Schizosaccharomyces pombe: one gene and its partner. The protein of the gene in region 1 interacts with the protein of each later gene in a pairwise test. Each region holds a gene or a part of one and is shown in the gene's direction. Other genes may lie near its edges.

Region 1 (6,135 bases):
TTTTGCTTCATTGCAACCACTTATAGCGGATTGCTTCGCATATCTATACCGCTCCTTACATGTGTTGTGATAGAGAGGTAAAGAATTTCAGACATCAATTGAAGCAACAAATTCCAATTTTAATACTTACATGATTTTGGCTTCAACTAGCTCGGGATGATATCCCATATTTTATGCCCGACACCGTTTGTCATCCGCTTAGTCGTGATACCCGTCTGCCACATAGCGAATGTCAAAGGATTATGCTACTTTACGTGAGAATGAAATATAGACTTTACACATCGCCACATGATGGCATCGATAGAGCTGCTAGTTTCAATTACTTTCAATTAACGAGTGAAAAGCGGATGTACCGCATCATCTGTTGAGCGAAATAGTCTACGTAAAATCAAATGGGCTAATTTGTCGCTGAATTAACCCAAAAGCAAAAATACGATTGCAATTCTCATTACGAAATGCTGAATGGGATGGAAAATAAATTGATGTCACAATTTCCGAGGACTCTTACAAATATTATATATAGAGCACGGGGTACATCACTATCGATTCGAATTTTCAAGAAGTAATATTTCGCACCGTAGTACTTTTTGTAAGCCGTTTTATTAAATCAGAAAGAACTCCAATTTTATTTATAAACAATGCCTGATCCTAATCGTGTTCTCGCTGGCAAGAAAGCCACCCTACACAATCCCAATGTATCACAACAAGCCAAAGAAAGAGCCGAAGACTATATAGAAAGTCATTCTTCCGGCCAAGAGACTGGTGATTATTCCGCTCAAGCTGGAGGCCGTGATCTTGATTATGAGGATCTCGGTGATTATGATGAGGATGCAGACTTTGACAACGAGGAGGGTCTAAATGTGTTGGGAGATGAGTCGGGTTTTGTTGATGATCCTATGAAAACAGGTGATTTGGTCGAAGAAGATCAACTTGAGGGCAAGAACATTGAAAATGTCCGAGGAGGTTATAAAGCTACTATGCATAATCCTAATGTATCCAAGCAAGCCAAAACCCGCGCCCAAAGAGCCCTTGAAGAAATTGATGATGAAACCCAAGCTTAATTGCTGCCCAGTTGATTACCCGTCATTGCTTTGATGTGTCTGAAGTATCTTCAGTTTTGATTTTATGTTGTTAATACAGAATTCCATAGTAATGATGAGTATACATGTTTATGATCTTATGAATATTATTTCATTCACCAGCTTTTAACTTTTGAAACCGTTGTCCTTGTAGAAGTAGTCGACACCCCATAGCATACAATTAAAACGATTCTCCTAAGATTTGCATACACAAACGTTATTGTATTTATCTTAATATCTGTTGCGTCGATATCGGCCGCCAGAACCTCTAGAGGAGTAGTTGGAGTATCTGTCCGGAGATGGTTTTCGCCTTGATGAGGAAGGATAGTTGCTACTGTGAGGATGGTTACTAGGAGGTCTTGAGGCATTATAGTTCGTAGAGGCTCCATTCCCATAACTCGATGTAGGATTATGAGTAGGTTGTGCATGCGTCATACCAGCACTCGATGTAATATTAGGGGAATTCGCTGGACTTTCACTTTCACGTCTAGAAGATGAAGGATTGTTATTTACATACGCATTAGGTGTAGCTGCACCTGAATGAACACCACCACCAGATGTATGTGTAGTATTATAGTTTGAAGATGCATGGACTGGAAAATTGCGCGAGTACCCCATATCCTCTTGTGGGCCTCCAATAGGCGGAGGAATAGGCATAAATGGAGGAAATCCAGAAGCCATCATAGCTTGAAACTCGGCAGGTGATGGTACGTTGCCAGAAGGTAAAGGACCCGGGATCTGAGCAAGACTTGCCATAAATTTTTGGGGGCTAAAGTCGTCACGCAAAGTCGTTTGTTTGGCACAGTAAGCAGCCCATGTAAATTCATCAAATCCATAGTTAAAATAATCTGAGATATCTGCACCAGGCTTGCGCCATGGTTTATCATCAAAAGACTCCAAATCAATCTCAAAAATGTTTTTACCATCAATTGTAGGAACAGCGTCAATGTCAACTTTAGGTGCAGTTTCTGCTGTCGATAAATCTTGGGGTTCTGTAGTTTTTACTTCGACAGCAGTTTTCTCTACTTGAGGTTTAGCAGAAGGTCGGGTTGAACCTAATGTTGCAATCGATCCACTAACATTATTAGTATAATCTGAAATCAATTATTTTGGTTTACATACCCTAATGGTTCTGCTCTTTCACCTGGCTTTGTTTCAATGATAAATTCAATATCCTACAAAATTAGCAGTTAGCAGTATCATTTTAATTGAAATCTTACTGAATCATCGCTTTCTTCACTTGCTTGCTCTGGTGACTTGGCATTTGACACTGTAACTCCATCATTCCGTTCCTCTATGGTTTCTCCATATAAATATTCATCCTCATCAACATCCATGTGCTGATCAGCATTTGACATAGTAAAAACCCACTTCTAAAATGTATATGGGGCAAGTCCATTCATTGACTGAGTCTCGCACCTGAAATTATGGATTCCTTCTTCTTTACCACTTAGGGCCATTAGTCCACTAAACATTGTACCGAGTTGTACGGTATATACTAGTGGACTTCATAGCGTACTTCATTTACCTGGGTAAAAATATTTTGCGCTAAAACGGGTTGAAACAGACCAACACTCGTGAAAGCCAACTTAGTGAGCCACATTGTAGTTAACACTAACAATTGAATTTGCTCTGCGAACACAGCAGTATTTGACTATACGATACCCTGAAAGCTAGTTCAATTTGAAACTTTAGATAACTAATCTTTTCCATCTTTGCTTAATTATAATATTAATCATTGATTGTGATTCTACAATTACCCTTTTTAGAAAAGATAACCTGAGTGGTTTTTCATGATAATCTTTGCATGGTATTTACACTAGGGACATTCGTGTATTAATACTTTAAGCAATGTTCGGGTTAAATAAAACACCCTCATTTGGGTCCACAGGAACCCAAAACCAAAGTATGTTTCTTTAGGTGAACAAGTCTTCAAGTTTACTTTTCGAATTTTGTGCTTATTCATATATTAACCTTTTCAGATACTGGTACTTCTGCAGGCACAGGACTTTTTTCTTCTAATACTTTTGGTAACAATACGCAGGCCAATACGCCCGCTTCGACTGGGTTTGGAGGCGTAACAGGAGGAGCTTTTGGTCAAACAAAACCTCAAACTGGTGGAAGCTTGTTTGGAAATAAGCCAAACGCTACATCTACTACCCCCGGCCTAAATTTGTTTGGACAAAACCCTCAAGCGGCACCTGGTGGCAGCCTGTTTGGAGCTTCCACTACTAAACCTCAAGCACCTGGTGGTTTGTTCAATCAGAATCAAACACAAGCACAACCTGCTCAAGCAGCCCCTACTGGAGGATTATTTGGATTATCTGGTCAAAATCAAACACAATCGCAAACACAGCCTGCTCAAGCAAATACTTCTCTTTTCGGACAGTCTAACATCGGAACTACAGGAGGTCTATTTGATCAAAACCGCCCTAATACTTCGACTTTTGGTCAATTTTCTACACAACCAGCTTCCGCTGGCCTTTTTGGTCAATCCACACAACCGTCTGGTTCAACTGGTTTTGGTTTAAGCAATAATACTCAAACTACTCCATTCTTTTCTGCAGCTCAGCAGCAACCGTCAACAACGTAAGTTAATTATTAAATTTTTTTTTCATTAACAAAAAAACAGGCAACTCCCTTCTAATCCAGCTATTAATGCAACGACGAGATACTCGAGCTTAAACGCTAATACTCAAAAATTTTTAGATGACTTAGAGTATGTGTTACCTTATGTACAAAATTTGTTCTAATCATGTCCGTAGCAAAGAAATTTTTAGCCAAATCCAACTTGCAGAGGAACTACAAACTAAGTTGGGGACTGTTTCCGAATTGGTTGAATCCGTCCCTAATGATGTCGCTGAAGTACAGAGAGTGAGTTATTTCCTTCTATTATCTCCAAGTTTTATTTGTTTCTAACTAAAATAAAGCGTTTATCTTCTGTCTCGACTGCACTTTTAATTGATTCCGACGAAATTGAAACTACGAAGCGTGTAGTTGACGAAGATACTTCGAATGCTCGCATTAGTTCACGTATTTTGGACGTTTTTAAAACACCTGGCGCAACCTATCCCTTCGCGTCAAACGATCCCCTAATGAACTACTTTGAGCAATTTACAGAAAACGCTAAGAAACGTACAGATCTGTATGCTGCCACTATTGGTGAACTTGAACAACATTTGGAGCAAGTTGAGACTACGCCACAGAATAATAGTCCCGAGGGTATGCCTTTAATTTGTAAAACTTGTATTAACTATCTAGCATTACTGAAAACTATCAAAGAGGAGCACAAATTATTCATGGCTCTTAGTAATAGATTTGCTCAAGTTCACGATGAAGTAAAGCGTCTACAAGTGAACACTTCAACGTCCTTGCCCTTTATAAGTTAATAGCGATCATTAAAGGGACTTCATAATCCTTAACATCATAAAAAAAATAAATAGATAAAAATCTCTAAAGTAGACAAATTCTCCTTAGATTAGAGTTTTCCGAACTTGTTGCATCCATGTAGTGCTTCGTGCTCCCGAAATGCTACATCTTGTATTAAAATCAATGTCCAGCATATGATAAATCGTATCTCTTGAGTTCATCGGTAAAGATTCTATCAATTGGCTTTTCGTGTTAGGGTCATTTCGTTGAGTAACGTATAAATTAAAACGTTTATCCGATGTATGCGGCACTTTCCATGGAAATCTCTTTAAAGCAATACAACAGTAAACAATTGCACAAGACCAAACATCTACAGCGCTCGGATCATATGGTTTCTGAGTAAGAACTTCGGGAGCAACATATGGTTTTGAACCGACTACACCATCAGACATCAGAGTGGTTGATTCAAATGGATAATGAAAAACAAAAGCAGTACCAAAATCAATAATCTTAACATTTAAATTTTCATCGAGCATAATATTATCTAATTTTATATCACGATGAGCAATGCCAAGGGAATGCATATAAGCCACGCCATCTAACAATTGAAAAAACATTTGATCAGCTTTTAAAGCAGAGCAATGACCTTTGGTAATAAAGGTAAAAAGATCATAAGGAACATACTCAATTATTTGTAAAATAGTATGCCTTTTGTATATAATGTCTAATACCTTGATGATATTGGGATGCCTGAGTGTCGACGCAAAAGTGTACTCTGCAATGAAATAACGTACATACCTGCGCAGTAATGAGGTATCTAATGGAGGACGAAATACTTTGGCAACGTAAATTGGCAATTTGTTTCGATCATTAATGACCCGAATGAAAGAGCTCGCTCCCTCCCCAATGACATTATTTAACTTTCCATAAGGTGTATCAGTTACGGAACATTCCGGGTTTACAACTCTCTTTCTTGATCTCGGGTTGATTCTCTTAAAGATGCTAGCATTGCTACCAGTTACTTTGTGTTTCAGCAATTTTCGAAGATCAGAAGTATGATTGTAGCAAGCAATAGGCGCCAGAGCGAAGCCGGAGTTCCGTTTTTTTATAAAATTGTCGTTTCCGTTCGGAAGGATATTAATTCTGATCTTCATCTTATCATACATGCTACTATAAAATGATTTAGACTTCTTTTTAAAGTGAAACTGAGGTGGGATATCGTTTGGATCAGAAGATGGATTTTTTCGATAAAGTCTGCTATATGGATTACCACCATTTATGCCATCATTAAGGGTAGCAAATTTCGATTCTGTGGAAGATGACTCTTCCGACATAGATGTTAAAGTGCTTGATAGTGATGAGTGAGTAGTCGATAATTCCTGTAAGCTATGAGCATGATCGAGAAGGTAATCAGATTTATCGCTCTCTTCACTCTCAATGGAGTTGGTAAATGAAATCACAAAGTTTTCGGGTAAAGTTGTAGATGCCGTTAATAATAAGCTACTTCGAGAATATTTAATGTAGGGGTATGAACGGACGGGCTTTAAGTAATTCGAAATAACTTGATCATCCTGTTTATTCTAATATCATTAGTTAGCGTACACCATATTTGAATATTTAGAAAAATAAGGATTTTTTTCTATTCTTTTTTTTAAAGAAAAAAAGATAACTAAAAAAATTAAAGGCA
Region 2 (5,538 bases), on another chromosome or scaffold:
GCGTACCCTTCATACCCTTCGCACATACCCCTGGGCACTGCTTCTCTTCCCTTGAAGGGTAATTTATACCAAATTTCTCGTAGTGATGATATCAAGTCTGGAGCTCCCGTTTTAGATACCTCTTCGCTTGTAAATCCCACTTTGGCAAAGTCAGCGAGTTTGAATAACTCCTCTCTTCTCAACCCATCTTCGTCTTTACTTCGTCGTGAGGTTCCCGCCGGAAAATTAACTATGCCTGCATATCCCTACACTACCCAGTTAATGAATCATACCGCCGGAGCTGACTATGGCTTACCTCGTCTATCATCTAAACTTCCCCAGGTGTTCCCTGGTAATTACCCTCGTCTTCAGCAATCGTTGTTCCCTCGTCAAGGGGAATTGCGCTTCAATTAGTCCTTCGTTAAAAAATACTGACGTTAGACATAAGTGCCCTTCGCTTTATATGTCTTTGTATATATTCACATTTGTCGTCATGGTTGTTATTGTGTTTGTGAATTAATACGTATTCGCTTCATTTTTTAATGTCCTTTGTTATCGAATCATTCTTTGTTCGCTAATGTTGTTTATCGTTTTTCCTATTATACTTAAGTGTAATGTTTTTGGGAATATAGTACTACTTGTGCCATATTCCTTTCCATTCTTTGAAATTATTTCCTTAACGCAAACGCTCTTTGCCAATTAATTAATATTGAAAACTTTTTCGCCGCTTTGTGTTTTTCATTTGAATGGTTTGGATATCGTCTACAACTAAGTAGTGCATACCACCCATGCATTGCCAGTAATTGGTTATTTCATCTACCCTTTGATGGTTTTATATTTCTAATATGTATAAGCTGATTTCTTAATTCTGCCATACGTTTAACCATGAAGGAATTTATTTACTACTTATTTCATATCTTTCGGGCGCGAACGTGACCACGCAAATGCACGGAAGATTTTTGTTTTTATTTTTTATTCTGTTATTTTATAAACTTTATTGGGTTTTGTTTTCACTTATTGTTTTCTAATTCTAATATGTTTATGCATTCATCAAACATTAAGCATGAACGTTGTGGTCTAAACCATTCTCTTTTCAGAAGATGCCACAACTTCTATTATGGAAAATCTAAAAAAAAAGAATTATGATGATGTTTACGGGTTAGAAAAAGATTTCTTCATTTTTTTGGATTGGTGAATTTTGAGTAAAATCAACTATATCTTAGCTAATGATTGTCTTCGCCAATTTCAATCATGAAGTCAGAGTCTTTTTATTACCATGCCTTTATTTTCTTTTGGAGTCCTATTTTTGTTTGTATAATTATTACTGTACCGTTGATTGAATTTATATCCAGGGAGATTATTCGGGTTATGTTAAGTTTATTGGAACGTTCATTTAACGCACTCTTTAAGCTTCCGAATGCTTGAGTTTTTTAATTTGCCATAGAAAAAAGTTTTAATTTTAAAAAAAAAAAAGCTTTACAATAAAAATAATTATTTTGTTTCTCATATACGTACCTTTTCAACCTAACCTTAAATAACAATTCGATTCGACACAATATCAATAAACAAATGTTTTATGTGATAGCAATCCTTGTAATTAATGATTACTGACATAGAAATGCAGTATATGTTTATTCTGTTGGAACAAGTGAAGTGACCTAAGTTAGAATGGGATCTACTCCTATGTTTCCTTTTCTGGAGTTAGCTGTAGCAAAAAACACACGATATTCTAAATGCACAAATAGTTAACCAAATTCCTAAGACAAAAAAAAACGTTCTAGCATTATATAGTTTATTCACGAATTCAGTTTTAGTGATTTGGATATTTATTCGTTTTTTCATACGGTACTATAGTGTTTCAATATCGATTCTCAAATTAAAATAAAGAACTCGTAATAGAAACAATCATTGTTAACTAAATGTTAATTCCAAAAACTTTTTACATTTGATATTCAGTTATTTGTAATTAAGAACACATTTAGGACAGCCGAACGTAGTACAGTATTTATGAAACAGGGCTTGACAAAAACCAAAAATTAAATTTTGTTCCATACTAGGAATTTAATGTCTGTGGCTATTAAGTTCACTGTTAAAATAAACGATGGCTCTTTAAGAAGGCAGCAAACTCGACACGTATTCTTAAGTCCTGCTGCTTTGAATCGTCTTAAGCTTTCTCCGTCACAAGTAATTTATTTGAAACATAAAGGCGGTGAAGCTGTTGGAATAACCCAATCAGTTAAGGGAAATGGAATAGGTCCATTTGAAATATTAATTAGTCCTTTATTGGCGAAATGGGCAAACTTGAAGGCCTTCCAGCGAGTTAACATTTCACAATATGTACACCCTTTAAAAGAAGCTGAAGGAATCAAAATTGTTGCTTCATTGAGTAGCAATAATGAACCTATACCAGAGTCCTTAATAAGGAAAGAATTGCTAGAAATAAGGTATCTTCATCCAGGCATGATTGTTATGGGTGAATCACCGATGAATATGGCAAAGAGTGGTAGCAAAAATCTCAGCTCAGAGAATATGGCTACGGAAATTTTTGAAATAAATTCAGGTTTATCTGCGCAATCGGGTACTGAAGTAGGGTCCTCTCAATCTTCTCCCTCCGTGAATGAATCTGAACCAAAAGCAACAGAAGATCTCGATGAGCTTTCTCCCGGCTCTTATAAAGTTAAAGAAATTCACATTCGTTCTCCTTCAAACCTTATAGAAGCAATTTCTGATATGTCTTTAGATGAGCCTCGTATTTACAAATTTACGGCAGCTTCCAGTATGGAAATTGAAACACCTGATTTATTAAAATTACCTCATGAAGACAGAACTCAGTCTGCATACAACCAAGGAAGTGAAGAGACTCAAAACTTCGACGGTCCTCCTTCTGCAGTAACATTTTCGTCGATTGGTGGTTTACAAGCCCAAATCGCCCAAATTCGTGACATTGTAGAACTTCCGTTTCAAAATCCCGAACTTTTTAAGTTTTTTAATATTATGCCTCCTCGGGGTGTTCTGTTATATGGTCCTCCAGGTACTGGCAAAACGATGGTTATGCGGGCTGTTGCTGCAGAAGCAAATGCACAAGTGTTTACGATCGATGGTCCTTCTGTGGTCGGAAAGTACCTTGGAGAAACTGAGTCTAGGCTTCGAAAAATATTTGAAGACGCACGGGCGCATCAACCTTCAATCATTTTTATAGACGAAATTGACGCACTGGCTCCCAAACGAACGGAGGACGTAAGTGAAGCGGAGAGTAGAGCTGTTGCTACTTTGTTGACTCTATTAGATGGAATGGCTAATGCCGGAAAAGTTGTTGTTATTGCTGCTACAAACCGACCTAACTCTATTGATGAAGCACTTCGACGACCCGGACGTTTAGAGAAAGAAATCGAAATCGGTATTCCTGATAAAAGCGCCCGATTAGATATCATTAAACTGTTGTTATCAGGTGTTCCTAATGAAATTAATGATGCTCAATTGGAAGATCTAGCCTCACGAACGCACGCTTATGTTGGTGCAGACCTAGCAGCTGTTGTTCGTGAGGCTGCTTTAAGAGCTATAAAAAGGACAATTTCACTACAAAAGGACACTTCGGGATTAGACATTTTCGGTGCGGTGCAGATGGACGATTTGGAGTTTGCTTTATCGTCTGTCCGACAAAGTGCTATGAGAGAGTTTATGATGGAATCGCCCAATGTACATTGGTCAGATATTGGAGGACAAGAAGAGGTGAAACAGAAACTAAAAGAATCAGTAGAATGGCCTTTAACTCATGGCGAAACCTTCTCACGATTGGGTGTTCGACCTCCGAAAGGCGTACTTCTTTACGGGCCTCCTGGTTGTTCAAAAACAATCACGGCCAAAGCCATCGCAACAGAGACTGGATTGAATTTTATTGCTGTCAAAGGACCAGAACTATTTGATAAGTTCGTTGGTGAAAGTGAACGAGCCGTTAGGCAAGTTTTTCAAAAAGCAAGACAAGCCAGTCCATCAGTTATATTTTTTGATGAAATAGATGCTTTGACTGCGAATCGAGGAGAAGACAATAGTAGCGACCGGGTAGTTGCAGCTTTACTGAATGAATTAGATGGGATTGAAGCGCTTAGGAATGTACTTGTGCTTGCTGCTACAAACCGCCCTGATATGATTGATCCGGCACTTATGCGACCAGGTCGCTTGGATCGCTTGCTTTACGTTGGACCACCAAATTTTGAAGCAAGAAAGCAAATTGTGAAGATACAAGCTGAAAAAATGAAGTTTGCAGAGGATGTAGACTTGGATTTGATTGCGGAAAAAACGGAAGGATGCTCAGGAGCGGAAGTCGTGGCTCTTTGTCAGGAAGCTGGTCTGATAGCTATGCACGAGGATTTGGAAGCGAAAGAAATATGTCAAGCTCACTTTAAAACAGCATTATTGGCATTGCGGAAAGCCATAACCCGAGATATGCTTGAGTATTATGCATCGTTTTCAGAAAGTGTTACTAGCATTTCCTGAGAAAAAATATTATTGATATTAGGGGTTTCATTGTTTATTAATATAATACTTTTTTTCTGTGGTTTTAGTGTATTGTAGATGACATGTGTGGTTAATAAACTTCGAGTGTTTACAAAGCTAGAAATGTTACAAGTGATTGCAGAACGAAATTCACAATACATTATACATTATGCTCAATTTACTTCTACTGCACATTATCAGCATTACAAAAAATAGACCATTTCACTAAAAAAATATTGAGAGATGTAAAAAGTCATAAAACTCGTCAATTTATTTTTAAAGAGAAACATTGATATGTACTAACGTAACATGGAAGCGACAAATAGTCCACAGAAAGTGACATCGGCGATACAGTGCAGAAAAGTTAACGATATACATACGTTTTGCCTTTCTTTTGTTAGAAAAAAAGGAGAGGCACGGCCTCGTCTTAGTCGTCTCCCATGATTATCCGCTGCAGACATCTACTTCAAAAAACCCTTCAACTTGGTGATAATTTCATCTTGTGAGGAGGATGAGTTTTCAATTTCACCGAGAGTTTCCAAAACACGACCACCACTTGCACTGTTGATCTTGTTCAAAATAGCAAGTTTCTCGCTGGTGCTACCAGGAAACATATCGCTGATTTTCTTCATGGTCTGAGCCTGTTTCACTTGCTTTTCTGCACCCAAAGCAGAGCTCAAAAAGTCATTAGACTTTTCGCCTCCCTCCTTGTTGCTACCACCACTCAAGTTGTTCATAAAGTTCTGCATAACGGAAGTTGGAATTAAGGGCAGATAGATTCAAAGTTTAGTAAGTTATCAGTCTTGCAACGTTGTAGAAGATGATATCCTGAGCTAGACACCCATATATATATATATATGTGTATCTACAATACTCTTGTTACTCCCCAAACACCAATTCGTCAAAAGTAGCCGATGATTTCAGTATGAAGTGATTTATGGGTAACCCATCTCATACCAATTATTTGAAACCACTTATCTGAGAAAGCGATAAAATTCACTATTCAACATACTGCAACGAAGTAAACAATAAACTTGAAACGTTTGAAAAGCTACGATATAAATC

What was found.
Region 2: the proteins of nup45 (region 1) and SPOM_SPBC56F2.07C interact in a two-hybrid assay, tested with the Schizosaccharomyces pombe proteins (one large-scale study listed by BioGRID).

Annotation. Positions count from the first base shown.
Region 1 is NC_003424.3:750,006-756,140, reverse strand, and holds nup45 (nucleoporin Nup45), read left to right. Parts: upstream 1-2,735; 5' UTR 2,736-2,930; coding exon 2,931-2,985; intron 2,986-2,987; exon of another isoform or gene 2,988-3,061; coding exon 3,062-3,668; exon of another isoform or gene 3,669-3,711; coding exon 3,712-3,798; exon of another isoform or gene 3,799-3,844; coding exon 3,845-3,953; exon of another isoform or gene 3,954-4,009; coding exon 4,010-4,301; exon of another isoform or gene 4,302-4,340; coding exon 4,341-4,468; 3' UTR 4,469-4,494; downstream 4,495-6,135. Other genes in the region: protein cum1, read left to right, coding at 639-1,061; iss1 (fip1-like pre-mRNA polyadenylation factor), read right to left, coding at 1,311-2,154, 2,202-2,254, 2,300-2,437; serine/threonine protein kinase Ppk8, read right to left, coding at 4,553-6,028. UniProt on the Schizosaccharomyces pombe protein: Functions as a component of the nuclear pore complex (NPC).
Region 2 is NC_003423.3:4,098,538-4,104,075, forward strand, and holds SPOM_SPBC56F2.07C (ribosome biogenesis factor recycling AAA family ATPase), read left to right. Parts: upstream 1-2,000; 5' UTR 2,001-2,043; coding exon 2,044-4,473; 3' UTR 4,474-4,687; downstream 4,688-5,538. Other genes in the region: puf1 (RNA-binding protein), read left to right, coding at 1-393; protein tam13, read right to left, coding at 4,935-5,222. UniProt on the Schizosaccharomyces pombe protein: ATP-dependent chaperone which uses the energy provided by ATP hydrolysis to generate mechanical force to disassemble protein complexes.